Linked DNA regions of Saccharomyces cerevisiae S288C. The gene in region 1 interacts genetically with each later gene. Each region holds a gene or a part of one and is shown in the gene's direction. Other genes may lie near its edges. The genes, in order: AGE2, GCS1 and VMA21.

Evidence for each region.
Region 2: mutations in AGE2 (region 1) and GCS1 are lethal when combined (synthetic lethality), as found in Saccharomyces cerevisiae (7 studies listed by BioGRID, with this or other methods).
Region 3: mutations in AGE2 (region 1) and VMA21 together harm fitness more than expected from each alone (negative genetic interaction), as found in Saccharomyces cerevisiae (3 studies listed by BioGRID, with this or other methods).

What each region holds. Positions count from the first base shown.
Region 1 is NC_001141.2:266,540-277,553, reverse strand, and holds AGE2 (GTPase-activating protein AGE2), read left to right. Parts: upstream 1-3,707; coding exon 3,708-4,604; downstream 4,605-11,014. Other genes in the region: GVP36 (Gvp36p), read right to left, coding at 49-1,029; protein kinase PKP1, read left to right, coding at 1,262-2,446; CBR1 (cytochrome-b5 reductase), read left to right, coding at 2,628-3,482; putative protein phosphatase regulator PIG2, read right to left, coding at 4,777-6,393; ubiquitin-binding SDF ubiquitin ligase complex subunit MET30, read right to left, coding at 6,981-8,903; YIL046W-A (uncharacterized protein), read right to left, coding at 9,081-9,245; SYG1 (Syg1p), read left to right, coding at 9,731-11,014. UniProt on the Saccharomyces cerevisiae protein: GTPase-activating protein for the ADP ribosylation factor family.
Region 2 is NC_001136.10:47,940-59,115, reverse strand, and holds GCS1 (GTPase-activating protein GCS1), read left to right. Parts: upstream 1-6,942; coding exon 6,943-8,001; downstream 8,002-11,176. Other genes in the region: HBT1 (Hbt1p), read left to right, coding at 1-1,851; WHI4 (Whi4p), read left to right, coding at 2,770-4,719; septin SHS1, read right to left, coding at 5,016-6,671; HO (Hop), read left to right, coding at 11,085-11,176. UniProt on the Saccharomyces cerevisiae protein: GTPase-activating protein (GAP) for ARF1 and ARF2. Involved in intracellular vesicular transport. Required for transport from the trans-Golgi network.
Region 3 is NC_001139.9:688,982-699,332, forward strand, and holds VMA21 (Vma21p), read left to right. Parts: upstream 1-9,617; coding exon 9,618-9,851; downstream 9,852-10,351. Other genes in the region: TEL2 (Tel2p), read left to right, coding at 1-984; GTPase-activating protein MDR1, read left to right, coding at 1,264-4,116; rhomboid protease PCP1, read left to right, coding at 4,382-5,422; GTF1 (glutamyl-tRNA(Gln) amidotransferase subunit F), read right to left, coding at 5,603-6,154; mRNA-binding ribosome synthesis protein NOP7, read left to right, coding at 6,436-8,253; SRB5 (Srb5p), read right to left, coding at 8,464-9,387; VOA1 (Voa1p), read right to left, coding at 10,008-10,351. UniProt on the Saccharomyces cerevisiae protein: Functions with VOA1 in assembly of the integral membrane sector (also called V0 sector) of the V-ATPase in the endoplasmic reticulum. Escorts the assembled V0 sector in COPII vesicles.

The sequences.
Region 1 (11,014 bases):
ATATATATATATAGAGAAGGAGAGAGAAAGACAAGAACAGGGCGGCTATTAAGCGTCGTCTTCGTCATTCATAGAGATAGCTGTCTGTGGCTTTTCTTCTTCTGCAACCTCAGGCTTTGCTTCCGGCTCTTCCGCAAATGAGTTGGATAGGAACTCTTTCATTAGGCCAGCCGAGGTTTCAAAATACTCAGCTTGAGCCTTGGCCAATTCCTTCAAATCTTCACTGAAGTTAGCGTGAGAAATAACCTCCTGCAAGCACACAGTAGCGTCTTCAGTGACTTGAGCAAACTGGTCTTCCAAAGTCTCCATTTGGACTCTCAAGGAAGCTTCCTTTTCTGGCTTCTTGTTGTTTGCCAAGTTAGTTCTTGCCACGTCATATCTTAATCTCATGGAATGGACATCCTTGCGGCACTTATCGGCCTTACCGATCTCAAAAGAGAGCCTTTCCCTCAAATTTTTATTGAATTTGGTTTGAATCAAGGTATCTTGTTGAATTCTAGCTTGAGCAATCTTAGCCTGCACATCACTGAATTGCAAGAGTGCCGAAGCCAAGGGTTGTTCCTCGGTGGGGAACATCTTGTTCAAACATTCACTGGAGTTCAAAGCCACTTTACTGAGGGCGTAGTTCAACGTCTTGGGTTCTTTGATGGGGCCTGGAGCAACTAAGATGTTTTGTGCCTCAGACGCAGATGTAGCATGAGTCAACTCTGTCAACTTGGAAGCCACGCTTCTTGAAAACTCGTTGACGGATTCGTTGATGTATTTAGGGTAATCGTACGATCCGTTTTCGTAGATAGCAGTTACACCCAAGAAGTGGTTGTAAATCAGTTTGATGGTGTCAACCTTATCTTCCAGCTCTGTGTACTCTCTTGGCAATTGGGAGATGTCCGTCACCTGGCCCAAACGTTCCTGGACCATTCTTTGGGTGGATTGCGCCAAACTGGGCAATTCCTGGGTTTTTTCGGAAACACTTGTGGATATTTCCTGTAATTTCTTGCTCAAAGAGCTGGCGAAGGCATTAAACGACATTGATGACTATGATTTGTTGCTTATTCCACTCCTCTGCCTACAAATCATATAGGTTATAGGTGAAGAAGGTTGCAATTTTCTTGTTTTTGACATCCCGATTAATCCACCGCTCGCTTCTCACGGTAATAAGGGAAAATGTCTGCCAGTATGAAGCAAACAACATTAAACTGAGAACATTGGTGAGTCAAGACCATAACTGGAAGACGTGGTATCAAGACGCCTTCACGGTAGTATGTGGAAGATTATGCGTTCATGGAAATGTGGGGGAATGCGCTGGGCACATCGCCAGCGACCCTCACACGAGCTGCTGTCGCAACTGTCGTTCGACCAGCATTACAAGATTAGGTCGAACATTGAGCTGCTGATACAGGACTACGCTAGTAAACCAATTGCGCCCCTAAACTACGAGTATTTCCTGCAATACAGGCCGCCGCTGACCAAGAAGGAGGAGTACATGCTGACGATCAAGACAATCAACCTGTTGCTTTCATTGACGTGTAAACGGCTTAATGCCATTCAGAGGCTACCGTATAATGCGGTAATCAACCCTCATATTGAGAGAACCAACTCTTTGTATTTGAAAAGCTTGCAAACGTTGCTATCAATCGCATACCCGTACGAGTTGCACAATCCTCCCAAGATACAGGCCAAGTTCACAGAACTGCTGGACGACCACGAGGACGCCATTGTGGTATTGGCAAAAGGTCTTCAGGAAATCCAATCGTGTTACCCAAAGTTTCAAATTTCGCAGTTCTTGAACTTCCACCTGAAGGAGAGAATCACGATGAAGCTGCTTGTGACGCACTATTTGTCGTTGATGGCACAGAACAAAGGTGACACGAACAAAAGGATGATTGGAATCTTGCACCGGGACCTCCCCATAGCACAATTGATCAAGCACGTTTCTGATTATGTCAATGATATATGCTTTGTGAAGTTCAACACTCAGCGGACCCCGGTCCTAATTCACCCGCCATCACAAGACATCACATTCACGTGCATTCCGCCCATTCTGGAGTATATTATGACAGAGGTATTCAAGAACGCTTTTGAAGCTCAGATAGCTCTTGGAAAGGAACATATGCCCATAGAGATCAATCTTTTAAAGCCAGACGATGACGAGCTGTACTTACGGATACGGGACCATGGTGGTGGGATCACGCCCGAGGTAGAGGCCCTCATGTTCAACTACTCTTACTCTACACATACCCAACAATCAGCTGACTCTGAGTCTACAGATCTGCCCGGCGAGCAAATCAACAACGTCTCCGGCATGGGCTTTGGTCTACCAATGTGCAAGACGTACCTAGAACTGTTTGGGGGCAAGATTGACGTTCAAAGTTTACTTGGCTGGGGCACGGACGTGTACATCAAGCTCAAAGGCCCTTCTAAGACTGCACTACTCTCCAAAAAGTAACAGTGCTAAATTTCCTCGTAAAGCGGTACCATTAAGGGCTCTTTCTACTTCTTTAAATTATCTACATATGTATAAATATTCTTATTATATAAGGCGAAAAAATGAACGAGAAAAAAAAGTGTTGAAAGTATGCATTCAACTGGCTCTTCAACAAGAGACTCAATCAATTAAGCAATCGAAGATGGCTATTGATGCTCAAAAGCTTGTGGTGGTCATCGTGATCGTGGTCGTGCCTTTGCTCTTCAAGTTCATTATCGGACCGAAGACCAAGCCTGTGCTGGATCCCAAAAGGAATGACTTCCAATCATTTCCGCTGGTTGAAAAAACCATCTTAACGCATAATACTTCGATGTACAAGTTCGGGCTACCTCATGCTGACGACGTACTCGGTTTACCAATTGGTCAGCATATCGTAATTAAGGCCAATATCAATGGTAAGGATATTACCAGATCGTATACGCCCACATCGTTGGATGGAGATACAAAGGGAAACTTTGAATTACTAGTGAAGTCTTACCCCACAGGTAACGTTTCTAAGATGATTGGAGAGTTGAAGATAGGTGACTCGATCCAGATCAAGGGCCCTCGTGGGAACTATCATTATGAGAGAAACTGCCGTTCCCATCTAGGGATGATTGCTGGTGGTACTGGTATTGCGCCCATGTATCAGATCATGAAAGCTATTGCCATGGACCCTCACGACACTACCAAGGTCTCTCTAGTCTTTGGGAACGTCCATGAGGAGGATATTCTGTTGAAGAAGGAACTGGAAGCGTTGGTGGCCATGAAGCCTTCCCAATTTAAGATAGTTTACTACTTAGACTCTCCTGACCGTGAAGACTGGACTGGTGGTGTAGGATACATTACCAAGGATGTCATCAAGGAACACTTGCCCGCTGCTACAATGGACAACGTTCAAATTTTGATCTGTGGTCCTCCAGCCATGGTTGCCTCAGTTAGAAGAAGTACCGTGGACTTGGGGTTCAGACGTTCCAAACCGCTTTCCAAGATGGAAGACCAGGTGTTTGTGTTTTAAGATAAGGAACTGTAACAGAGTGCCATATATATATATATAGATTGGAACATATATAATATATACGCTATTTAGTTTAGTCACCTAAACGCACCGTTTCCATATTTCGTGCTGGACGATTTTCGACTCGATAATACGTATAAGATCGGTACTAATAGTAACAAAAGTAAAGGTAATACTTGCTTCAACTGTACAAAGGAGCATAGAACGTGGGGCAATTTACAAGCGATGTCGACGTCAGTCCCAGTCAAGAAGGCATTAAGTGCTCTTTTACGCGATCCAGGAAACAGTCATTGTGCCGACTGTAAGGCGCAACTACATCCACGCTGGGCTTCCTGGTCACTTGGTGTTTTCATTTGCATTAAATGTGCTGGTATACATAGATCATTGGGAACGCACATTTCGAAAGTGAAATCTGTTGATCTGGATACATGGAAGGAAGAACATTTGGTGAAACTGATACAGTTCAAAAACAATTTAAGAGCTAACTCATACTACGAAGCTACTTTGGCTGATGAATTGAAACAGAGGAAAATCACTGATACGAGCAGTTTACAAAATTTCATCAAGAATAAATATGAATATAAGAAGTGGATTGGTGACCTCTCCAGTATTGAAGGGTTAAATGATTCTACTGAACCAGTTCTGCATAAGCCGTCTGCGAATCATTCGTTGCCTGCTTCGAATGCAAGATTGGACCAGAGCTCAAATTCATTACAAAAGACGCAAACACAACCACCTTCCCACTTATTAAGCACCTCAAGGAGTAATACGAGCTTATTAAACCTACAGGTTTCATCGCTTTCTAAGACTACATCTAATACAAGTGTAACTAGTTCTGCAACAAGCATAGGTGCTGCTAATACCAAGACTGGCAACAGAGTCGGTGAATTTGGGCAAAGGAACGATTTGAAAAAATCCATTTTATCTTTATACTCAAAACCTTCTGCCCAGACTCAAAGCCAGAACTCATTTTTCACTTCCACGACACCTCAGCCTTGTAATACTCCGTCACCATTCGTGAACACTGGAATTACCGCTACAAATAATAATAGTATGAATTCAAATTCCAGTTCTAACATTTCATTGGATGATAACGAGTTATTTAAGAACGTCTGGAGTTGAATAAAAAGTAAAAAAAGAAAGCAAATATAGAAAGCAACAAAAAGAACATCATTCCAGTATATTATTTTATATAAAGAAAATGACCTTCAAATAAAAATAGAAAGTACGTATTCTTATCTTTTTTTTTTCTTTTGTATATGTAAAACAATACTATTAGTTTTTGTTTTTTTCTTTAATGGAATGGGTTTCTGAAAAGACTATGTTTCATCTCGTAGTTATCATTGACGTCTGTTGTGGGCCCTGTCCTCGTTTCATTCGTTACCACGTCAATTTTATAGTTTGCCGAATCATTATTGTCCCAATATTCCTTCCTAGAACGATCAACGCCCCAAGTTAAGTATTGAATACAAAACTCCAATTGTGATATATTGCTATCTTTATCATTTGGATTGTGTATATCATCAATGGAGAACTTAAAAATATCCATATTGCTTCCTGGTAAGATGCCATTGGCATTAGAAAAATACACGCATTCTGATTCATGAAAAGTTCTCCATGCATCCCATGTATATCTTACGATAATCTTCTTATCAAAGTATATGTTTTTCACAAAGACTTTGCCAATTATAACCATGTTGTGGAAGCCAGTTAGTAGCGTAATTTCTTGCAAAAAAACGGGCCTTCCACGGGAAAGATTCAGAAATATGTTAAGTTTTAAACTCTTACGGTTCCTGTCACTTAATATTGGAAAGTTCTTGTTGTAAAGACCAACAATTCTTTTAGAGTTTCCAATAAACAAGTTGGCTCCTGATTTAGCAGAATTTGTTCTTGTTTCTAAATAATCGTCGTCATCGTTTATTAACAAATTCTTCAACCCGTGCGCAAGATGAGCTTGGTCTTTGTCTTGTTGCCTTACTAAACGGTTTATAGCGTCGTCACTATCATTGTCATTTTCAATATCACTGTCATCGTCACTTAGTTTAAACTTCTTTTTTTTATTTCTACGATTATTAGAATTTGTACCAAATAGGAATACACCCTTCGGGTTTTGTAGCCATGTATCTCCATATTCGTTTTGGTTGTTTTCAGATAGTAAATCTTCTATAGGTACGCTATCACTACCGCCATTAAGGGCACTTAGTCTCGTCAAAGGCTTATGCTTGAAATTCAGAACATCTTGTTGAACCATTTGTTTGCCAACATCTATGGGTTTCTCATTTTCATTGAACAGCTTTATTGGTAAAACACGATCGAAATGGACACTTTTACTTCTTTGCAATAGCCTAGTATCTACATGATCTAAATTGACATGTTTACTCTTAGAGCCAGTTTTGTTGAATATAGATTTGGGAGTAATGGGTAGGGACTTGGATCTTCTTTTTAATGAACTCTTAACCAGTTCTCCAGATTTCTTGTAAATGGGAGGTGAAGGATTACCATTTTCCTCGGATTCATACTGGAAATTATCATGTGATAGAGGAGAGATTTCGTCTTCCTCCTCGCCTAATTTACTGACGTCTTGATGATGTGCGTTAAAGTTCGCTCCAGAATTTATAAACGGGTGATGGGCATGAACTTGTTTCCCATTAAAATACATTCCCTTATTCATGTCCGTATTTCTTTGAAGCTCGTCCTGAGGTAATCTGTGCAGTTTTACATTAGATAGTCTCCTGGGCTTGTGCAAAAACTCCAGAGAGTTCAGCCTGGCAGGGTGCATGTGCATGCTCATACCAGCAAAAGTTCTTATATTCGCATTTATGTTTCCATAGTTATTGTTGTGGGCACTGTTATTAGGAAGATTTAAAGGTTCATCCATCAGTATATTTTGTGGTTGCGTGGTGGTGGCCATACGGATAAAAGCAATAATACTAGCTAGCTATATTATCTTTTTTTATTTATTATTAAGCTATTACCAAAGCTGGCGCCTCAACTGTTGGGTTCTTGTCTATTTTATGTATATTCTATATTTCAAGGATTACGGAATCGATAAGTATTCTATTATGTAATCGCCTTTATATACAATGGCCGTGCGCGTTTATATAATAAAGTACCTTCGCCCTTTGGATTTATTAGTACTGTTGAGGGAACAATATTGCAGATTATGGATCTTGTACGACATTTTATGCGTACGCCCTCTTCATCATCGCCGTCAATATAATAAGCTTTATCTTCAGTCCCCCCCTTGACATCCCCCTTAGCGTGGGAAGGGCTCCGTGGGGGAGTAATAGCATCTAATGGTCAAGAGTTTTATCGAGACGAAAAAGAGGAAGGAAAAAAACTGAAGATGGAAAAGGCTAGTGATACGCTAGCGATTTATTTTTTTCCTGGAAATAAAATAAATGTAAAATGCTATTATGTATTTTTCATTATATATGTAAGCATATATATTCGAGGTACTACGGATGTTTTTGACCAAGAAAAGACCACACACAGGTCCTAATCATTGAGATCGAATTTGTACATTTTTACGCACCCAAATTCATCACCACTAAAGCATTCTGAATCTCCAATACAAACACAAGCGATAGGGGCGACTTTATCACCCAAGGATTGTGTTTGTGTGTGCTGAGTTTCTCTTTGTAGTCTTCGACCGTTGAACGTGTGCATACACTTCCCGCTTTGCAAGTCCCAGACCTTAATGCTTCCGTCGTGAGAACCACTTATAATTCTGAAGTTGTCAGCGGCGATGTCCCAAACACCTTCCACGTGCCCAAACTGTGTTCTTATGCATTTACCGGTTTTGACGTCCCATAGTTTGATTGTGTTATCCAGTCCGCAAGATAGTAGATGTGTTGGATAAGGTATGTTTTCATCTAAGACAGTTTCTTGCTCGTTCGACGGTGTGTCTGATTCGTCTGCACCATCAGTCATTGTTGGGTCATCCTGCGGAGAGCTGCCATCAGAAGTGTTGTCGGTGGCTAGATTCTCTACATCCTTAATGGTAAGCGGTATGATCTTTTGCACCTGCCCTACATGACCCCTGAACACTTTTAGGCATGAATTGGTCCTGATATCCCACATTCGGATTGTGGTATCGTCACTGCAACTAAAACATGAAAAGCTTTTCGGATGCAATTTGACGCAATTAACCCATTCCGTGTGGCCTCTCAAGGTGTAGCATGTCCTGGACTCCACGTGCCATACCTTGACCGTCTTGTCAGCACTGCCGGAAACGATAACCTTCTGGTATGAATCTACGCTCAGAACGCTATCCGAGTGGCCTCGATACGTGGAAATGCATTCACCGGTTATGTAGTTCCAAACACGGATCGTCTTGTCGAGCGAGCCCGTAATCAGCTTTCTATCGTCAAAATATAATGTCTTGACGCCGTCCGAATGGCCGCTGAGCCTTCGTATTAGCTTCCCCGTGAATAAGTCCCATATACCTATGGTGGAGTCGTACGAGCCTGTGAACAAAAGCCTGTAGTTAAACTGGAGCGTTAACACACCATCCATGTGGCCCTTGAATTCCTGAATCCTGCAGTGGCCCTTTCTCCAGTTTGACTCCACTTTGAACCGTTCTCTGTAGATGACTTTCCAAGGTCGCGTAGTTTGCGTCTGGATATCTGCGTTGCTGCTAGATCCTGTACTATTCTGTTGTATCCGCGCACGTTTCATGTGCAAAAGAGGCAGCCCCCAGCCACAGTTGGGACATTTCCTGTCTATGTGCTGCTCGCACATGTGGTACCATACCCTGTCGTCATCCGCGAGCTTCTGCCACTTGCGGCACACTCTCGTGGCGTTGCAAAGAGATTGGCAATCCAGATAACTCAAGATCTTCAGCGACAGCTCCTGCGGCAGAATGCTGATGAAGTCGATCTTGATCATGTGTGTAACGAGTGACGAAATGTAGGAAAGCTGTGGGAAGCAACTCGTCGATAGGATCCCATCCAGAATCAGCTTCCGTATCTTGTCATTGGAATTGCTGTACTTCGAGATAATGTGGTGGATGTCGGATTGCTCCTGCAGGGGTAGCTTCGCGATATTAGCATTAATCTCTTGCGTTCGTTTCAAATCCTGCTTGTAGCACGCTGTATGAGTTGGTGAGAACTGAATGTCCGGGTTATGCCGATAGCAGAACTTGGTGAAGTTATATTCTGGCAATGGCTGTACCCTAGTGCCGCTGTCGTTTGTCGCCAAATCGGGTGATGACGATGGCGACCTCGTCGCCATCGTCATCTTCTTCTTACCCGATGATCCTTGTGCCAAATCATCGCTACTGCCCGTAATAAGCAATCTCTTTAATGGTGGCATCATCGCCGTATCTGTCATTTCACTGCTGTTATTACTATTACTATTGTCAAGGTCGTCCTTGTCCTTGTCCTCGAAACTCATCATCCTTTGCCTCTCTCTCCTCATGCCCTTCTCCTTTATAAATCACCAAACACACACCCCTTTACCGATACTCAAGCCTCTTCTCTAAACTTCTTTAACTGCAGTCTTCTCTTACGATACAGACTGCAAGGTTGCTTTCTTCTTACGCTGATGAAAAAAAATAAAATATCTCCGCGCAAACTGTGGCTTCCCGATCACGTGCTACAACCTCATTTCTACATTAAAACACACACATTGTACCACACACGCCAACACACATATACACGCACAATCACTCCCACACATATACAAACACACGACATATGAATATATATAGTACACGCGCCAATCCATTAGTTTTTTTTTTGGGATACAGACGCACATCATGGCTTCTTGCCCGTTTAGTGCAATACAATAGCCTTGTGTTGCCGTGCCACACCCTGCAGTTATCTCTCCCAGATCTGTCTTTCCATCCCCTTAGTTGCTATCGCTGCAGCCATTTGTTCAAAATCGTTATCACCATCATTCATCATCACTTATCATTATCATGCACATGCTGCCAGCCGCTGCGGCTGGCTATGTGTTGGTAGTCATCGAGTCGGAAGCCCATCATCGGTGTGGGTGTGAGGCATTTCTAGAACGGATTTTGGGTGCCGTTTGTCACGTGGGACGGGATGCGGTTTTATTTGACGCAAGTTCCATGAACATCATCGCACGGTTTCGCAACAGTTTGGGACTGTACATGTACAAGATGGGTTTTCTCCTTTGCTTTTTTGTTTTGTTTTGTTTGATTTGATGGTTGGTAGTTATTTTTTTTTTTTTTTTAATTCAGTTGGCAGCAATGGAAGGGCTTTACCATAGCACCGTATCAGATGAAGTTTGCTGACCATCTAACCGAGTCTGCCATCCCGGAATGGAGGGACAAATATATTGATTATAAGGTCGGCAAGAAGAAGCTTCGCCGCTACAAGGAGAAGCTGGATGCCGAAGAAGAGCAATCCAGCTCCTACCGGAGCTGGATGCCCTCTGTGTCGGTATACCAGACTGCATTTCAGCAGAGAGAGCCCGGCAAAAGTCGCAGCGACGGAGACTATCGCTCCGGACCTGCGTTCAAGAAGGACTATTCTGCTTTGCAGAGGGAGTTCGTTGCTGACTTCATTGAAGACTGGTTGATCTCGTTCCAGTTGAGTAAGTGTAACGAGTTTTACCTTTGGTTGCTAAAGGAGTGCGACAAGAAGTTTGAGGTTTTACAGTCGCAACTGCACTATTACTCGCTGCAGAAGAATTATGAGCGCGACAACTTGAACCGGTCTAGTTCGAATGTTGACATGTCCACGAGTCTATATGCGGCAGGGCTTGCTGGTCGTTCTGACTCCAGGGTCAATAGCATCGACAGCGATAGCCGGTCTGTTATGTATGGGTCAATGCCCTGCACCAAAGAGGCCAAGAAGCCGCGTTTGTCGCTGCTAGCGTACTGTCAGAAAGTTCTTAAGGACAATAGGCTGCTGCCATCGTGGCCCAAACGTGGATTTTCTCTGCTACAGGACTTGAGACAGGATGCGTCCTCAAGAGGCCGCGAGACGTTTGCTTTTGGCGCTTCTTTTCTGGAGACTATGACGACAACCCAGGCTAGAAACTTGTTAAGCAACGCTATAATCGAGTACTATCTGTACTTGCAATTGGTCAAATCGTTCCGGGATATCAACGTCACCGGGTTCCGTAAAATGGTCAAGAAATTCGACAAAACGTGTCACACAAGAGAGCTGACCACGTTCATGTCGTACGCCAGGACCCACTACACCCTTTTCAAGCACGCGGATGCCAACGTGCAGTTGGTGGCACAGAAGATGCAACAAATAACCAGTTCGCAACCAACACCCACTTCGGAGCTCTCTTCCGCCCAAAGAGACAAAGAGCCCATCACTTGGTTGGAAACGCAGATCACCGAGTGGTTCACCACTGCGTTGACCAATTCGCCTAAGGACAGGAAGCACAATACCCATAAGTTGAAGAAATTGACCATTCAGTACTCTATCTCCGAACAAATGGTTCATAGAAACAACAGATCGATTGTGCAGATGCTGGTTGTCGGGCTGGGCATAGGTGTGTCAATGACTTTGATCACTTACACTTTGTATTTGGGCATTAGCTCTGAA
Region 2 (11,176 bases), on another chromosome or scaffold:
AGCAATAAAAACATTCAACACCCAGAAAAGAATAAGGTTGATAATAAAAATATATCAGAAAGAGCGGCTGAAAAATTTAACATTGAAAGAGATGACATTCTGGAATCCGCCGATGATTATCAACAGAAAAACATTAAATCCAAGACGGATTCTAATTGGGGTCCAATTGAATATAGTTCCAGCGCTGGTAAAAATAAGAATCTGCAGGATGTTGTTATACCTTCTAGTATGAAGGAGAAATTCGACAGCGGTACATCTGGATCTCAGAATATGCCTAAAGCGGGAACCGAATTAGGACATATGAAGTATAATGATAATGGTAGGGATAACTTGCAATATGTTGCCGGTTCACAAGCTGGTTCTCAAAATACGAACAACAATATTGACATGTCACCCCGTCATGAAGCAGAATGGTCCGGGCTTTCTAATGATGCCACCACCCGAAACAATGTTGTATCACCTGCTATGAAGGACGAAGATATGAATGAAGATTCTACTAAACCTCATCAATATGGGTTGGATTATTTGGATGATGTTGAAGACTACCACGAGAATGATATTGACGACTACTCAAATGCAAAGAAAAACGACTTGTATTCTAAGAAAGCGTACCAGGGAAAACCATCGGATTACAATTATGAGCAGAGAGAGAAAATCCCAGGTACTTTTGAACCTGATACGTTGTCAAAATCAGTGCAAAAACAAGATGAAGACCCGTTGTCTCCAAGGCAAACCACTAACCGTGCTGGTATGGAGACTGCAAGAGATGAGAGTCTTGGCAATTACGAATACTCGAATACTTCTGGTAACAAAAAATTATCTGATTTAAGCAAAAATAAATCAGGCCCAACTCCAACGCGTTCTAATTTTATTGACCAAATTGAGCCAAGAAGAGCAAAAACAACACAGGATATTGCATCCGATGCCAAGGATTTCACCAATAATCCGGAAACAGGTACTACTGGAAACGTAGATACAACCGGAAGGATGGGTGCAAAATCCAAGACCTTCAGCTCGAACCCTTTTGATGATAGTAAAAATACAGACACTCATCTCGAAAACGCTAATGTTGCTGCCTTTGATAATTCCAGATCTGGAGACACTACATACTCCAAATCAGGGGATGCTGAAACAGCTGCTTACGATAATATTAAAAATGCGGACCCTACATATGCCAAATCACAAGATATTACTGGAATGACTCACGATCAGGAACCATCATCAGAACAAAAGGCCAGTTACGGTTCTGGCGGCAATTCCCAAAATCAAGAATATTCTAGCGACGATAATATTGATGTCAATAAGAATGCGAAAGTTTTAGAGGAAGACGCACCGGGCTACAAGCGTGAAGTAGATTTGAAGAACAAACGTAGAACCGACCTTGGTGGTGCCGACGCCTCAAACGCTTATGCTGCCGAAGTTGGTAATTTCCCTAGTTTGATTGACCCACATGTCCCAACATACGGATTTAAAGACACCAACACCTCTAGTTCTCAAAAGCCATCTGAGGGCACCTACCCAGAAACCACTTCCTATTCAATTCATAATGAAACAACTTCTCAGGGAAGGAAAGTGTCGGTGGGTTCAATGGGTTCCGGAAAATCAAAACATCATCACAATCATCACCGTCACAGCAGACAGAATTCTTCAAAAGGGTCTGACTACGACTATAATAATTCTACTCATTCAGCCGAGCACACTCCAAGACATCATCAGTACGGTTCCGATGAGGGTGAGCAAGATTACCATGACGACGAGCAAGGTGAGGAACAGGCTGGTAAACAAAGTTTCATGGGTAGAGTGAGAAAAAGTATTTCTGGCGGTACTTTTGGATTTAGGAGTGAAATTTAAACACTTCTCGATTAACAAATTCCCAGTATTCTTTGAAATCTATTTTTCTTCCTCAATTGAATTTGAATAACTGTCTACGCGGACTCCTCCTATCTACAACTACAACAAATTTTAACCACTTTATTACCACTTTCCTCTTTCATTTATTTTTGTCTTTTATGTTGTCAATTTACTAGTATTTTTTTTTTTTTCATTTACGTTCAAGGTTTTTTATACTCATTTAACTTGTCTTAGGTTATTTATATATATACCTATATATTTATATATATATATATATATGTATGTATATATTATTATCACCAAATGAGAAATAATAGCTAATTTGATTTTTGATTATTTAAAATATTGGTTTGTTCTTTCTGCAAACATCTCGTTTGGTACGATATTAGTGAAAAACGATGTAATTATCAACACGTGCATTACCCAGCGTTATATTTTCATTACCCGGACGTGGTGTTTTTTGTTTTTTAATGTTTCTTAGACTTAAAGAGGAATGGAATGGTTATTTGGATTAAATCATAGAAAAGTACAATTAAGGTTACGGCAGGAGCCTCGAACCGGTAGTTTTACAGAAAATAGACCCATCTGGTGGCAACACTAAATCATTGAAATAATAGCAAACAATTGTTTCAAAACTCCTCCCATTTGGATCTCATCTCAATTGTTTTTTCCTTCTTAGTTAAAAGTTCACGAAATTAGGAAATCTAAGAATCAAAATATAATCCGCTGTTATTTCTGCGTGTAAAGGTTTATCTTCTACTTGTGTCATATTTCACAAATTATCACTTTGCTAAAACAAGGGACTGACTTCTTTCTTTATTTTTCGAGCATTTTTCAAAAAAGCAGGGTTTTTGAAAACAGGAACCTTAGTTGCCACATCTACGCTGAAAAATAACGCTTAAGGTTTCTCAATTAACAATGTCATTAGTGCATAATCAGACGAATTTAAACGAATCCAAATTTCTTATAGAAAGGGCATTTAGTTCTAGTTCAGAAACCGTTCCATTATCAAAGGAGGCAACATATCCCATGCCAACTGCATATAGTTTTTCCGCAGTTAGGAGCAACAGCGAGACTAACATTAAAAGAGAGAACCCGCAAGGTTTTGCAAAAGAACCTATTATGACTTCTATGCTTCATAATTTGACCATGTCCACGGGGAAAGGGAACGGGAATGACGTCAATTCTTTAGCCCCACATGATGTGGATGTTGGCCCCTACTGTCTTTTGCTGAGGAATTTGCCAAAAGACATTACACTAAGAGAGTGTTATTGTATATTTTCACTAGCAACTGGGGTGTCAAGTATAGAACTAAAAAGGGATGATAGAGAACCCTTTAATGACAATGAAAAAGTCGTTGTGGTCAAATTTGGATCCCTTTCTTTAGTAACCCATTATGCTAATATATTAAACTCGAAGTCTGAGATTTTTGGGCCTAGTTTCCCCTTTAGGTCTCACATTGACGTAGTAAATGAACAAACGCAGCTTCCAGTGAGTTTTCAAGAACATGTTTCATCTGGCACTACAAATAGTTCTCCAAAGAATTACCAATTGTCGTCCAGTGCGCAAAATGAAATTCAAAATCAAAGTTTTAATACTATATCATATGGAAAAACTAGTTCCTCTCCATTAGGGCCTTCAGCGGCCAAGCCAAGGCCTTCATTACTTTCAGAGAGATCCCTCCGTTTCTCATTCAATGACCCATTCGGATTGGAAACAATCTCTCAAAGAAAAGAATCCGTACCCTTTCTACGAAATAGCATCTCACAACATGATTTATCAAACGTAACCACCACACCAGTTCCAGCAGGAATGCCACCTCAGAAGGACGCTGGCAAGTCACTTTTGCTACTAGAAAAGGATGAAATAAATGAAAGTATTTGGAATGGTGATGAATTAGTTAATGATGTTGGTAATTCTTCATTTGGTGCATCTTTACAAGAGCCTCCGATGTCATCTACGCCTGTGATGGAGTGGAATGCTTCCTCAACTGCTAATATTCCTCTTTTTCAATTATCTAGCCAAGAAAATCATCAGTCTAATCTGTTGCCTCCATCCCACCATTCAATTAGCCAGGATGTTCCACATATTCAATCACAACCTAATCTGAACAATTCAGGAGTAATACATTCCGCGACTTCTCTACCGCATTATCACTTATTGAACCAAATTAATGCTTCAACTAAGACACAAAGTATTCAGCAGAGCGTTTCGAATGTTCCTTCCAATTTGGACCTGAATCTCCAAACGGAAAATGGCCACCCACAATCTTCTGCTCCTAACGGGTCTTCAATATTCAACAACCAAAAGGTGAATCAAGGCTTTTTAGTGAGTGAACAAGACACCAGTACAATATCACGACAGAAAGAATGTTCTTCTACAGCTTCTGCCTCTGCATTTTCGAAAAATAACGAAACAAATGTGGCAGGTTCCACAACTATTTCACAGGCTGACCTATCACTACTAGCCAAGGTGCCACCACCAGCCAATCCCGCGGACCAAAATCCTCCTTGTAATACTCTTTATGTGGGTAATCTACCTCCGGATGCCACGGAACAAGAATTAAGGCAATTGTTTTCTAATCAGCAAGGTTTTCGTAGATTATCCTTCAGGAATAAAATGAACTCTCACGGTCATGGCAACGGTCATGGCCATGGTCCAATTTGTTTTGTAGAATTTGAGGATGTTAGCTTTGCCACTAGAGCATTGGCAGAATTATATGGTAGTCAACTACCTCACCCCCGCCCTTCCCTCAACAACAAAGGAGGTATCAGGTTGAGCTTCTCTAAAAATCCATTAGGCGTTAGAGGCTCAAACAGTAGGAGTAAATCTGGTTACAGCTTTAATGGAAGTTACGGGAAATCATGATAGATTTAGTATTGCTTTATTAATTTTCTTTTGCTTTACTTTCTGACCTTCGTTTTTACTTTTTGGATTTTGCAGTTTTTTCATGCTCTACTTATTTAGTTTATGCCATATTTAAATTTATCCCTACAATTATTTGACACTGTTTGTATGTGTGTTCCCTTCTTGAAGGCTGTGCTGAGGAAACTTTGTAGTTGGTACATAAATTTTTGATCAAAAGTAAAAATACCCCCGTTCGGTAACTTATACATTTATTTATTTATTTATTTGCTCAGCTTTGGATTTTGTACAGATACAACTCAATCTCTACCCGATGCAATAGAGGCTAAATCAGTATACGTGTCATTTTTTTTAATTTGGCTCCTTGTGCTCTGTTGTAGAGAATTGATTGAAGATGATGAACCGTTTAGTTTATTCTGATTTATTAGTTTTTCCCTCAATTTCAATTCGTGTGCTTTTCTTTCTAATTCTTGAATTCTTTTTTGTAATTCTTTAGCTGACTGGGCCTCTAACTCTTCCAGTTTTTGTTGTCTTGCTAAAATTCTTTCATGTCTCAAGACATATGGAACGGTTTCTGAAATATTTCTTAACTTGGTACGCTCTGGTAAGTCCGGAGAGTTCAAGAATTTTGGTGAAGATTCTGTTTTGATAGATCTTATCAAATTTTCATTTTCTTGTTTTATTTCTCTACCCAACTGTCTCACGGGAGACATTTCCTGTTCATTTTCTGCTGAATCATGTTCGCCATTGTCTTCGTATTCGTTTTCCTTAAAGTTTCCACTTACTTGGTTTCTTGGTGTGTCCGCTCTCAAATTGTTTGCAAGAGTTTGAGAAGAATTGAATTGACCAGTGCTTATCAAAGAGGCAAAGTTGCTTAAACTTGGAGCATTTGACTGTCTCTTTGTAGAATTAGGACCAATTTCTTCAGCGTTGGCCACGGACGATAGTTTTTCGGAACGGTAATTCTCGTAAAGCAAATTTTGCGTGGTGTCTTTGAATTCTTGTAAGTGAGAACCAAACAGGACGTTTTTTAAAACTTTCAAATCCGAAATTTTGTCGTCGTCGATTGATATTATCCCCCACGGATACTCCCTAACGTATCTACCTTCACTATCTCTGGTATCTGAAGTTATAATAGCAAATGGTTGCAAGGATGCCAAGGCTTGATTCTCTTCCATGGATTCCAAATCATCATCTTCAGGGTCAACCTCAAATTTGTAAATTGGGACGTTGTATCTTTCCACATCAAACATAATATTTTTCCTGAATTGAGTTAGCTCCTCCTTGGTGAATGAGTCAGCTCTTGTTATTATTGGCAGTACATTTGTGTATTTGGAGATGCTTTTCATGAGCTCTACATCGACTTCTCTCAGACCGTGTCCAGTGGGTTCAATAAAATATAATGCTACGTGAACCCTGGTGTCCTCAAACCTCGGATTCCTTTTAATTCTGGTTTCCTCAGCTAAAACAATGTCAAATTGTTGTTCTAAATACGACATAACTTCCTCAGAACACAACGAATCGTCCAAGTTTTCGCCTATACCATGCGTCATAATCAAGTTGAAAAACACGGTATCATCCTCGTTCATTTCTGGCTTTCCTTGATCTTTGTTGCCCCCAAGTTCTAATGAAGTGGAGGTGATGGTAATACCTGGTTCCAAATTGGCTCTCATTGGATCGAATTCAGAAACATAAGATGGAATCCCATTTTTCGAATTAAATGAAACAACTTTTGTCGGAGCAATAACTTTTACTTCTGGGTTAGAGCTAATACTAGCATTTGATTTACCGTATTGATACTTATGCGGAAAGATCTTAGTTTCCAATAGATTGTTAGCAAAGGCGGTCTTTCCTGTACCTGCTGGCCCACATAGTAACATTGTGTATGTGATCCCACGTTTATGTTCTTTCTTTCTACGAAATAAGTTAATTGGCGGTGTTGAAGCAGTGCTCATGATTAATAATATATTTTTCTAGCAATTATAAGCAGATCTTTGGGGCTCTTGTTTTATTATTTCACTTGCTGGGTACATTGATCTTGCTCGAAAGCTTGTTATATTCTTTTCGCAGTTTGGCACTTTAAAAATCGCGCGGTTACCCGCAAGCAACGCCAGTTTTTGTCAAGAACCAAATTGCACAACTATATCAAGAATGAAAGCAGAAATATGGACGTGATTCTGAGTTTAAATGGTGCCAATTGAGCAATTTTATCGCGGATTATAGAGCATGTCAGATTGGAAAGTGGACCCAGATACCCGCAGGCGTCTTTTGCAATTGCAAAAGATTGGTGCAAATAAGAAATGTATGGATTGTGGTGCGCCAAATCCACAATGGGCCACGCCTAAGTTTGGAGCTTTCATTTGCCTTGAATGTGCCGGTATCCATAGAGGGCTTGGTGTGCATATATCTTTTGTAAGATCTATCACTATGGATCAGTTTAAACCGGAGGAACTTCTTCGTATGGAAAAAGGTGGTAACGAACCTTTGACTGAATGGTTCAAGTCGCATAATATTGACCTGAGTTTACCACAAAAAGTGAAATACGATAACCCCGTCGCAGAGGATTATAAAGAAAAGTTAACATGTCTTTGCGAAGATAGAGTATTTGAAGAGCGTGAGCATTTGGATTTTGATGCTTCCAAGTTATCAGCAACCTCTCAAACCGCTGCATCCGCTACGCCTGGTGTTGCTCAAAGTCGAGAAGGGACACCACTGGAGAACCGTCGATCTGCAACACCAGCAAACTCTAGTAATGGTGCCAATTTTCAAAAGGAGAAGAACGAAGCTTATTTTGCTGAGCTGGGCAAGAAGAACCAATCTAGACCAGATCATTTGCCCCCTTCTCAAGGTGGTAAATATCAGGGCTTTGGAAGTACACCCGCAAAACCTCCACAAGAACGGTCTGCAGGGTCCAGCAATACTTTGAGCCTGGAAAATTTTCAAGCTGATCCTTTGGGAACATTGAGCAGAGGATGGGGCCTCTTCTCCAGCGCTGTAACCAAATCGTTCGAGGACGTAAACGAAACGGTTATTAAGCCTCACGTCCAGCAATGGCAATCCGGAGAGTTGTCAGAAGAAACGAAGAGAGCAGCTGCCCAGTTTGGCCAAAAGTTTCAAGAAACGAGTAGTTATGGATTCCAAGCATTTAGTAACTTCACTAAAAATTTCAATGGTAATGCAGAGGATAGCTCTACAGCAGGGAATACAACCCATACAGAATATCAAAAGATTGATAATAACGATAAGAAGAATGAACAGGACGAGGACAAATGGGACGATTTCTAATTTTAATATAGTTTTTCTCAACATTCAAGGAAAGTTCAATTCACATTGTAGCTATAATGGAGAAGTGGTTCTGTAAAGTTTACACGTAATACTTCTGTCTCTAAATTTGTATTTTTCATATCTTGACAAGAAGAGGTTTACTCTCTAGGATTATAAATAAGTCTACACCAGTATTCATAAATAGTTACCACAAGGCCATATCGTAAATTATTATACAACCTATTAATTACAAATAGAATTGCAATCCTTTCCCATCGGCGTTGTTGTACTGTTGCAAGGCTAATGACGGCTATTATTAAAAAATGTTTTAGACCTGGGACAATCGTTATCCTTTTCTTCATTATTTGGATGTTTGCGCCTTAAAATTATCCTGGGCACGAGTGAAACAAAGCTAAAACCTTTATTTAGCATGGCCATTGAATGTAACAATTATATATATCGCAAGCACAAAAAATCAAGGAGAGAGAACTACCACTTTGTTCATGTGTACAATGTTCATTATCTCCATAAGCAAAAAAAAAAAATAGAAAACATATGCTATAAGGTTGATATTCTCACGAGTAAGCGGCACTTGCTACTTATTGACATTGCAGATTTTTGGCTACAGAAATAGTATATTAGAGATTATAATTGCTAATCAAATCAAAATATAAAATTAGTAAACCAAACCATTTATACCCTTCCTTAGTAGTTATGGATTGTTTTTTAATGATATTTCTGCAAACCAAAGAAAGATTGTTATCCAGATAGAATTTAGTTTTGATATTCATTTTTTTGTTGAAGATTGAACGCCATATCTGGGCCTCATAATTCAAAAGACGGTGCCATTATCGGTAGCGTTTCGCATTGTACTGGATTTCAGAAATTTCACAGTTGATGAATCGAAAAGAATGGTCTCATTGCAACACGTAAGGTTAAGATGTCCCTTTTTACCATTATAGGCAATAAATGAATCATAAAACGACCGTATACTGGTGAAATAGTAGGGAGAACGAGTACCTGTAGTAAAAAGTATAAATCATAGTTAATCGGGCAATGTCCCTCGATCAAGGAGTATTGTGTCATGTTCGAGACAAACGCCAACATTTTTGTTTCTTTTGGACAAATGTTGTTTGCATTTATGATCCGTTATATTTTGATCTAATGTAGAGTTGCACGTAGTTCTTACTGGCAAAGAAATCGATGCATACCAAAAAAGAATAAAGGTGATATTTGATCTTTACCGTTTAGTTCCAACGTAAAATTGTGCCTTTGGACTTAAAATGGCGTGGCAGAACTAACTCTTTATTTTTCCAAATCAGAAAAATTAATATGTTTTGCCGCGTTAAAACCTACATCAAAAAAGGCGGATCAAGATGTATGAAAGAAAGTGCGTAGAATAACGAACATTCATAGCTGTTCTGGAGGCTTTACAAAAGGTAATCTTTGTTAGGTGCGATTTTATCCGAAAAGCAATTACTCTCTATGTTAGTCATACAAACTGACTTCTGTGAGAGAATTATTTTCATATCAACGTAAGATCACATGGTTCCTTTATCAAGTACTACTATCATTCCATTATATGACCTATTTACTTCTTGAATCTTAGAGCTCATAATTCAAGCAAGTTGCGGAGCTAAGAATTTCACATGTTGTTGAACTTAACAATCTTCATTATACCCAATCGCTGCGTGCTGGAATTATGTTAAAAGTTACATCCTTTTTTTCATTTTTCCCTACGCTCAGGGCACTGTACTGCCCGTGCCTGCGATGAGATACATCAATTTAAAAAAAAAACCAGCATGCTATAATGCTGGAGCAAAAATTTCAATCAGAAATAGAAAAGACCTCAACAGTAATTAACCCAAAGGGGTATCAAATAATCGATGTGCTTTTTCACTCTACGAATGATCTGTGAGAAACTGATTTGGGCCGAATCGCGTAAAAAGTTTGATTCGTGGCGGCTAATGTCTGAGGGGCTCCAACAGGCTCGTAGAGCCTCGTTTCTTGAGGGCACAAAATGTCCAGGTAATATTCCCAAGAAAGAACCGCAGAGTGCTTTGATAAATCGGTTACAGGTCTTAACGTAGGTTTTGTCTCGCTAATTGCTATTGAGTAAGTTCGATCCGTTTGGCGTCTTTTGGGGTGTAACGCCAAACTTATTACTTTTCCTATTTGAGGTTGGTATTGATTGTTGTCAAAGAATGAAAATATACACAAACGCCACAATATACGTACCAGGTTCACGAAAACTGATCGTATGGTTCATACCCTGACTTGGCAAACCTAATGTGACCGTCGCTGATTAGCGGATCACGAAAAGTGATCTCGATACAATTAGAGGATCCACGAAAATGATGTGAATGAATACATGAAAGATTCATGAGATCTGACAACATGGTAGACGTGTGTGTCTCATGGAAATTGATGCAGTTGAAGACATGTGCGTCACGAAAAAAGAAATCAATCCTACACAGGGCTTAAGGGCAAATGTATTCATGTGTGTCACGAAAAGTGATGTAACTAAATACACGATTACCATGGAAATTAACGTACCTTTTTTGTGCGTGTATTGAAATATTATGACATATTACAGAAAGGGTTCGCAAGTCCTGTTTCTATGCCTTTCTCTTAGTAATTCACGAAATAAACCTATGGTTTACGAAATGATCCACGAAAATCATGTTATTATTTACATCAACATATCGCGAAAATTCATGTCATGTCCACATTAACATCATTGCAGAGCAACAATTCATTTTCATAGAGAAATTTGCTACTATCACCCACTAGTACTACCATTGGTACCTACTACTTTGAATTGTACTACCGCTGGGCGTTATTAGGTGTGAAACCACGAAAAGTTCACCATAACTTCGAATAAAGTCGCGGAAAAAAGTAAACAGCTATTGCTACTCAAATGAGGTTTGCAGAAGCTTGTTGAAGCATGATGAAGCGTTCTAAACGCACTATTCATCATTAAATATTTAAAGCTCATAAAATTGTATTCAATTCCTATTCTAAATGGCTTTTATTTCTATTACAACTATTAGCTCTAAATCCATATCCTCATAAGCAGCAATCAATTCTATCTATACTTTAAAATGCTTTCTGAAAACACGACTATTCTGATGGCTAACGGTGAAATTAAAGACATCGCAAACGTCACGGCTAACTCTTACGTTATGTGCGCAGA
Region 3 (10,351 bases), on another chromosome or scaffold:
TTTAAAATCAATATACCGAATGTCAAATTCGAAAGCAATAGCGATGATAAAATCATTGATTTCCAATCTTTAAAAAATCCATCCATATGCAATACCCAAACTGATGTGGGTAAGGATAAGATTACTGAGGTCTCGGGTCATGTTCAAAGCCTTACATTGGACTGCAGTGATAGCGATGATGAAGATGAGAACGATGAGCGGGAGATTGTTAAACGAATTGTATTTTTAAAAGATTTAATGAAAGAATACGAAAAAACTGGGGAATCTCGAAAAGCTCCATTGATACCACTTCTGAAGCAAACAGTGAAATTGATACGGCAAAAGGCGGATTTTCAGTTAGAGGTTGGCTATTATGCACAAGGTATTCTGTCAAGCATTGTGTGCTTGAATAATGAATTTGATGAACCGCTTTTCGAGCAGTGGAGAATAAACGCTCTAACAAGCATACTGGTCGTCCTTCCAGAGAAGGTGAATGGCGCTATAAATATTCTATTCAATTCAGAACTGTCGTTACAGCAAAGGATGTCACTATTGTCGGCTCTGGGTCTTTCTGCAAGAGAGTTGAGAGGGCTTGATGATCCTACTATTGTCAAGCCCAAGTTTGATTTTCCAACAAATCGTTTACCGTGGGATGATCAAAGCCATCATAATAGTAGGCTTGTTGAAGTTCAAGAGTCAACAAGTATGATAAAGAAGACGAAAACAGTATGGAAATCTAGAAAACTAGGCAAGGATCGAGAAAAAGGAACGCAAAACCGCTTTAGAAAATATGCTGGTCTATTCTTCTATCCGCTAGCACACGGTTGGCTTAATGGAATTGACGTAGGCACATACAATCAGCTTTTTAAGTCGCATTATTTAACAACACTGCGTATCATATACTCTTGCGCTAACCCGGTCCACGATTTTGAATCCATGACGGAGTTGATGAATCATATAATTAGTTCAGCCATAGAGGAAGGAATTTCTCTCAATAAAGGTTAGTAGCATAGTTATTTGTACCAATCTTATGATACATATTTGAATAAATTTAGTGCGTTCTCTGTCAGCGTCGTTAGTATTTAATGCACAGCATATTATTTCAGAAGGTCGGCCGACTCCTGCAACTGGGAAAAAGAACTTCAATAAGAAAAGGCCTGAACAAATCTGCTTGGTAAGGGCCCAACAACATTTAAGAAATTGTACATTTTGAAAGCACTGATCCATCAATTAAAGCACCGAACAACCTCAGAGTTGATACAATTATTAGTTAAAGGATAGGATATGTCATTTTTTGATTCTTTACGTCAAAAGGCACCCTTTTTGGATAAACTGGCAGACAGTTTCACTCCAACATTAACCAGAGATGAGAAATTCAGATTAAAATATAAACTTCCAGCTAATGAAAACATTTTGGAAGATACGAATGCAGAAGTTTCATTTGCAACTTCCATTAAAGATGGAAAAGGGCATTCTGATAGAGTGAACAATAAAGGGAGAAAAACTGCTTATGTGTATTCCGGGAGATTGTTTTTAACACCTCATTTTCTGGTATTTCGAGATGCATTTGATCATTCATCGTGCGTACTAATACTGAATATTTCTACCATTAAACGTGTAGAGAGGTCGCCATCCGAATCATATGAATTTGCTCTTCTAGTAACTTTGTACACAGGAGCAAAGGTTCTGATTCAATTTATCGGTATACGTTATAGATCGGAGCAGTTTTGTGACAAATTGAAACTAAATTTGAAAGAAAATATTCCTAATGCCAAAACTTTACCTGCTTTTCTAGAAACCTCATATTCGGAGTTCTTAATTGCTAAAAATATTCTAGGTAAAAAGGACATAACTGTACCCAGGGCAGGTCTAGGACAACATTTCAAGTATCCCGGTAATCCTACTATGGTAAAAGAAAAGGCTAAATTGAGGCTATGGTTCGATTATTTCAGAGAGAATGGAAGGAATTTGGCAGTTGTGCAAACTCCTATGTTCCGAAAGTTAATCAGAATCGGTGTTCCAAATCGAATGAGAGGTGAAATTTGGGAACTATGTTCAGGTGCAATGTATATGCGTTATGCAAATTCTGGGGAGTACGAAAGGATATTAAACGAGAATGCTGGTAAAACATCGCAAGCTATCGACGAAATTGAGAAGGATTTGAAGAGATCGCTGCCCGAATACTCAGCATACCAGACTGAAGAAGGTATTCAAAGGTTGAGAAATGTTCTGACAGCTTATTCGTGGAAGAACCCTGATGTTGGATATTGCCAGGCCATGAATATAGTTGTTGCAGGATTTTTAATCTTTATGTCTGAAGAGCAGGCTTTTTGGTGCTTGTGTAATCTATGTGACATCTATGTTCCAGGTTATTACTCAAAGACGATGTACGGTACATTGTTAGACCAACGAGTGTTCGAGTCTTTTGTAGAGGACAGAATGCCGGTTCTTTGGGAATACATTTTACAGCATGATATTCAACTATCTGTGGTGTCTTTACCTTGGTTTTTGTCTTTGTTTTTCACTTCAATGCCTCTAGAATATGCTGTTAGAATAATGGATATTTTTTTTATGAACGGTTCTATTACTCTATTTCAGGTGGCATTAGCAGTTCTGAAGATAAATGCAGATGATATCTTACAAGCCGATGATGATGGAATGTTCATTGCCATAATTAAGCACTATTTCCAAACTCTGGGACAAAGTGCTCACCCAGATTCAAGCGATATAAAATATAGACAAATCACGAAATTTCAAGAGCTGTTAGTTACGGCTTTCAAAGAGTTTAGTGTCATCAGCGAGGAAATGGCAATGCATGCAAGACACAAATATGAGAAAGGTATTTTTCAAAACATTGAGACTTTCATGAAAAGAACGCAACTGCGCCATATGCCAAAAACTTTCAACCTGTCCAGTGATGACTTGTCCAATATCTATGACATGTTTTACCAAAGTATAGAAACCTACAAAATTAGTATGGGAACGGGATCATCTAATATGGGTTTCGAAGTATTCATTCAGTTCTTGAGTAAATTCTGTGACTCCTGTAGACCGTGTGAAAAGGACAAAGATCCAGCTTTCCGGAAACAAAAAAGGAATTTTCTGCAAAGGTTATTTGATAACTGGGATTCTGCTCATATCGGCGAGTTGACATTGAACGATGTGGTAACAGGCTTGGATAAACTGGTAACTGTTGATCTTTTACAAGCTATAAACTATTTTTTCTCTTTATATGATACAGATGGCGATGGTGAATTGCATAGAGAAGAAGTGCTACAGTTGTCGGAAGGGCTGCTACTGCTAACGGAACCTTGGAAGAGCGGTAGATATGTAGATCTGTTAACTAAAAAGCGCATTGAAGATGATATTGCTGAAAACATCATCAAGGAAAGCGGTGGAGAGATAGCCACTATGAACCAAATCGAGTTACCAACTGGGGTTACTATTGATGAGGAAAAATATAAAGTTGAACAAGCAGAAAGATACCTAAAAGCTGCAAGCAATTTCCTACAAAGATCTTTTGAATATGCTAAAGCAGTTGATCTCGCGGAGGAGGTAAACTTGATTGACTTGTCTGATGATGAAGGCGAAGAAAAGCGAACGGTAAAACAAAAACAACTGGAAAGCATAAAGGCAAATGCAGCCCTAGATCCCACCCATCCAAAAGTAATAGATTTGCCAACATTTAGAATGATCATCCTCGCAGATGAAACTTACGAGCTTTTCTTTTCTAATACTTTACGATCATCTGTTCACGTCGACGAACATGTCAACATTGATAACAAAAATAAAGTCCTCAGAAGTATGTTTGACGGTATATTGGCAGACGGCAAAAGAGTTGCTGAGCAAGTTCGTCGTCGTGTCGATTCGGTGGCAACTAGGAGCAGCATTGCTTCTGTAGAGAGTACGCCAACAGCCGCTGCAAGTTCAATAACTACCAAAGAAGAAAAGTACGATGATCTAGATGATTTCACGTCAGAGCATCAACCCGAGAATGAAGAGTTATTACAAAGTTCCTGGTTTGAGATCGACGATGCCAATGAAACTAGCACTAAAGCCATACAAGAAAGGTCTTTTGAGCCTTTGTCGGCAAATTCCTCGGAAGAGAAGTCCAACCTTATTGAATTTGAAGCATGAAATCGTGCTTATCAATTTTATGTCACCCTAAAACATCTGTACGTGTTTATATAGATATTTAAAGCAATATTTGCCAGGATTTGGTGAAGATCCCTCATATAACTCTCATAAATGCGGATTTTCGGAGCGAAAAAAGCCTAAATTCTTGTCTGGAAGTATAATTGGCGGTGAAATAGAAAAGGTGGCAATCACGACTGAAAAGGGTACAGCTTTCGCAACTGACATATACAGACAGTGAAAAGTAATAAATTGCCCAAGTGTGAACATGTCAGGTGTAAGCTCTGTTATGCTCGGTCTTCGACCTGCTACAAGAATTTTTTTCCGCAGTAATATTTCGGTTTCACCTTCGAGGACTTTTGTATCATATATTGGAAGATCCCAGAGCACGTCGATACTCAAAAATGCTCCCAACTTAGAGGACAATGTCACAAATCTTCAGAAAATTATACCGAAACGGTTCTTTTCTCAAACATCAATTTTGAAATCAAGGTGGAAGCCTATATTCAATGAAGAAACTACTAATCGATACGTACGTTTGAACAGGTTTCAGCAGTACCAGCAGCAGAGAAGCGGCGGCAATCCTCTGGGCTCTATGACTATTTTGGGGCTCTCTTTAATGGCAGGAATATATTTTGGCTCCCCTTATTTGTTCGAGCACGTTCCACCCTTTACGTATTTTAAGACGCATCCAAAGAATCTGGTATACGCGTTATTAGGCATCAATGTTGCCGTATTTGGACTATGGCAGCTACCCAAATGCTGGAGGTTTCTACAGAAGTACATGTTGCTGCAAAAGGATTACGTAACTAGCAAAATTTCGATAATCGGAAGTGCGTTTTCACATCAAGAATTCTGGCACTTAGGTATGAACATGCTAGCGTTGTGGTCCTTTGGTACTTCACTCGCAACAATGTTGGGAGCATCCAATTTTTTCTCCTTATATATGAATAGTGCCATTGCAGGTTCTTTGTTTTCGTTATGGTATCCAAAACTGGCACGCCTAGCCATTGTCGGACCTAGCTTGGGTGCCAGTGGAGCGCTATTTGGGGTTTTAGGATGTTTTTCATATCTATTCCCACACGCTAAAATTTTGCTGTTTGTTTTCCCAGTCCCAGGTGGGGCTTGGGTAGCATTCTTGGCTTCAGTGGCATGGAATGCAGCTGGTTGTGCTTTAAGATGGGGGTCATTTGATTACGCTGCGCATTTAGGTGGCTCTATGATGGGGGTCTTGTACGGATGGTATATAAGTAAAGCTGTAGAGAAACAAAGGCAGCGTCGCCTTCAGGCTGCTGGTAGGTGGTTTTAATCACTTAAAAAAAGACACATTCTCATTCGAAATATTGTAAATACTGCTATGTCTTCTATGTACTTAATCTTATTTATGCATTTGAAAAATATTTCAGCCTTATCGTGGTGGTACATGTACAAGAAAATTCATAGGCAAAAGAATATATAGAATAGAGCGTATGTGTTACTTTTCTAAGTCTTACTTCCTGTTTTTGAGTAGTCCCTCTTTGACAACAAAATATGCATTTTTGGATTCCGCGGCAAGTCCAGTTGCTTTCCAAGATCCGCTAACTTCTCCTAGCTCAGCATCCTGCTTTTGGTGGCTGATGCCTTCAAGTAGCTTTGTGTAGTTCAGCTGTTTCGTATTTCTTTGCACCAACCGAGCATCATATTCCTTGGTGTGCTTTTCACCTTCGACAGGTATGTTATGGAGTTTGTTGATGAATGATAATTGCTTGGCAAGTCGCATTTGAATTTCTTTAATATCTGCTCCTTCCAAGGGAAGACCTGATAACCGCAACAATTTTTTTACAGCTTCAGCAGACGGTGGCTCTAGTTTTTCCTCTTTAGTGTTTATGCCTAAATATTCGTGGACGGACCATACAGGTCTTGATAAATAATCCCTTATTTGATTCATATTTTCAAATTTTTTACCAATCTTTGCCCCTCCCGTAGATACGAACCGATGACTTCCATCATGGCATAACCCACCCACTGTATGTGTTCTGCATAGACGCCATGTTTTGTACATCGTTCTAGCACTATGGGTAAGTGCAAATAGTTCGATCTAAAAGCCTAAATGCTAGTCACTATTACCTCCTTGATGTTATATTTACAGAATAATGTCATGTCGTCTGTGGTGACTATTATTATTGCCTGAAAAAATTAAAGAAAATTTTTTGCGATGAGATGAGATGAGAAAAAATGAAAAATTTTGGAAGGTTAATTAGAGATGTGTAGTAAATCCTGCTGGTGGAATACATTTTATTCCTGTAGAAAATAGTATAGTAACAGCGGTATCCTACTTATACAATGAGAATCAAGAAGAAAAACACCAGAGGTAACGCAAGAAACTTTATTACCAGATCTCAAGCTGTGAGAAAATTACAGGTTTCTCTTGCTGATTTCAGAAGATTATGTATATTCAAAGGTATCTATCCTAGAGAGCCAAGAAATAAAAAGAAGGCAAACAAGGGCTCTACTGCACCAACTACTTTTTACTATGCTAAGGATATTCAATATCTAATGCATGAGCCCGTTTTGGCTAAATTTAGAGAACACAAGACTTTTGCTAGGAAACTAACAAGGGCTTTGGGTAGGGGAGAAGTCTCTTCTGCTAAAAGGTTAGAGGAAAACAGAGATAGTTATACTTTAGACCATATTATCAAGGAGCGTTATCCAAGTTTCCCAGATGCTATAAGGGATATTGATGATGCTTTGAATATGTTATTTCTTTTCTCTAATTTGCCCTCTACCAACCAGGTTTCCTCGAAAATTATCAATGATGCTCAGAAAATCTGTAATCAATGGTTAGCCTATGTTGCCAAGGAACGCTTGGTTCGTAAAGTGTTTGTATCCATTAAAGGTGTTTATTATCAAGCCAATATTAAGGGTGAAGAAGTTAGATGGTTAGTTCCATTCAAGTTTCCAGAAAACATCCCCAGTGACGTTGATTTCAGAATTATGTTGACCTTCTTAGAATTCTACTCGACTCTATTGCATTTCGTCCTATATAAGTTATACACCGATAGTGGGTTGATTTATCCGCCAAAATTGGATCTTAAAAAGGATAAAATCATAAGTGGTTTGTCATCATATATTCTAGAATCCAGACAAGAAGACAGCCTACTAAAACTTGACCCAACTGAGATTGAGGAAGACGTAAAAGTTGAAAGTTTGGACGCATCGACATTAAAGTCTGCCTTGAATGCCGATGAGGCAAATACTGATGAAACAGAAAAGGAGGAAGAACAAGAAAAGAAACAAGAAAAGGAACAAGAAAAGGAACAAAATGAGGAAACGGAACTAGATACTTTCGAGGATAACAATAAGAACAAGGGTGACATCTTAATACAGCCAAGTAAGTACGATTCTCCTGTTGCTTCTTTGTTTTCTGCATTTGTTTTTTACGTTAGCAGAGAAGTTCCGATCGATATTCTTGAGTTCTTGATCTTATCTTGTGGTGGTAATGTCATCAGTGAAGCTGCTATGGACCAAATTGAAAATAAGAAGGATATTGACATGTCCAAGGTCACTCATCAAATTGTTGACAGGCCAGTTTTGAAAAACAAGGTAGCTGGCAGAACGTATATTCAGCCACAGTGGATATTTGATTGTATCAATAAAGGCGAATTGGTACCTGCCAACAAATATCTTCCAGGGGAGGCTCTTCCACCTCACTTAAGCCCATGGGGTGATGCTATTGGTTACGATCCAACTGCTCCTGTCGAAGAAGGCGAAGAAGAAGAAAGTGAAAGTGAAAGTGAAAGTGAAGATCAAGTTGAGGAGGAAGATCAAGAAGTTGTTGCTGGAGAAGAAGATGATGACGATGACGAAGAGCTACAAGCTCAAAAAGAGCTTGAATTGGAAGCACAAGGTATCAAATATTCTGAAACTTCAGAAGCTGATAAGGATGTCAATAAGTCAAAGAACAAAAAGAGAAAGGTGGATGAAGAAGAAGAAGAAAAGAAATTGAAAATGATAATGATGAGTAACAAACAAAAGAAACTTTACAAAAAAATGAAGTATTCTAATGCTAAAAAGGAGGAACAAGCTGAGAACTTAAAAAAGAAAAAGAAGCAAATTGCCAAACAAAAAGCTAAACTGAATAAACTAGATTCCAAGAAATAGTTTTCTCTTCTTTTCCAATAGCCTCTCAAAAATTTTGTCTTTTAATTTAACATCTTTATTACTTTATAATTCCTCGGTATAGCAACATTAGATATATAACTACACATTTTTGTTTGTAGATATAGAAATACCTGTACATTAAAAGTGGTTACTGTTGTTCTGTATAACTATATGAGTGAATTTTGTAAAAATATGCCCAGGTGCCAATGATTATATTAGAATATTTCCATGTGCTACCCTCGAGTCCATTGACTGTCTATCGGGTACACTTAACTCTATATAGCCTTGTAGTTCCTTTTTTAAGTTCATCAAGGCAGTCTCTGTATAGTTTATACGATCGATATCGGTCCCCCTACTAACATTGATGTATGCTTTTAAAAGGAACCCTCCGCTTGTTATTTGTGAATTGCCTGCTTCTTCTATTTGCCAAATTTTTTGTAACTCAAGTATTAAACCATGCTTCATAAAAAATTTCACACCAATTGTAAGATACTGAAATTCGAATACATAACCCAATCCGTTCATGAGCGAGGATACTGAAGAGTTTTTGCCAGCTGAAGATAATATGATAGTCTCAGCTATCGTTTGCATTGAAACACTTCTATTGTTTCCTGCAGCAGGAATATCTGAAATTTGCAATGACCAAGGGGAACATGACTCGTTTGAAGGGGCGGGACTTGCATCCATGTCGACATCTATGATGTCATCGCTGTTTCGACTTTCATTTACAGTATCTTCTGTATGCTTACTGTTGTTTTGATCTTCGTTTGTGCTGTTGAAGTTGGTGACTTGCGGAACTGTGTTGTGCAAGATATTCCGTGTCATAGCATAGTTAAGCGGGATTTTATCGTTTGTAAAAGATTTCAAGATTCTAAAGTTTAATGGCTTATCCATCATTGTTTCATCGATCAGGTAAGAAAATGGCACCTCTTTGGAAAGTTTTATTCTATTTGGTTCAACCAATTGGTTTCTAGAGTTCACGTTCTCGACGTCGTAAGATGGATTTGGTTTCCAGACAGTGCATAAACTGTTATACAGTAGCGGAGGATTACCTGATATTGTGGTCAAAGTTGAAATTAGTAAATCGTAGCCGTCATCACCAATAGATCCAAAAAGGCTTAGTTGCTGAACCATCTTTTCTTCTTAATATGGAATACCTTGGCTGGAAAATTCAATTTTCTACCTTTTTTTTTATTTTGGTTGTTTGTCTTCGATATTTGATAATTTTCTAGGTTATTTTATTTTTTTCAAATAAAAGAAAGGCAAAAGAGCTCTCACTATATATTACTAACCTGCAAGCTAAAATGAACGCAATACTGGAAAGCAATAGTAGAAACTAACCAAGACTTCAAAAGAATCAAATAATGGCTGTAGATGTTCCTCGTGCGGTGATTAATAAACTTATGCTGTTTACTGCAGCGATGGTGGTACTGCCCGTACTCACTTTTTTCATTATTCAGCAATTTACGCCAAATACCTTAATTAGTGGAGGTTTAGCTGCTGCAATGGCCAATGTTGTTCTAATCGTTTACATTGTTGTAGCGTTCCGCGAGGATACTGAAGATCACAAAGTTGATGGTAATAAAAAGGAAGACTGATTGAGTAGTATATGTTGCTAGAAGAGAATATACAAGAAAAATAGTAGAGGCTAAATAAAAAAAAAGTAGCATTAAATGTTATGGATGATTGGGATATATATGCAAATAACCCAATCTTACATATGTTTCTTTCAAATATATGAGTATATATAACGATTAATTGTTTTTTTTTATTGGGTTTGTTGATTTTTCCAACGCACCATATGTGATATCCAAATTAGATATCCAAGAAAGTGCAACAATCAAAATGAACAATAGCAACGCAGAAACTATTAAACACATTAGTAGTCCTTCAGTCCAGATGGAGCTTAAAATATCATCGTCGCCTTCTTTACCCTTGTTGTTATCATGATGGCTCAAAGTCTCTTCTGTTGCATATTCATCGTCACCATCTTCATCTTCAAAAGCCCAACCAAGAGAGTTAATAACCACAGTCAAATTGTCGCCAGATTTATCTTCCAAAAACGATAAGCAAGAATCAATAAATTCATCTAATTTTT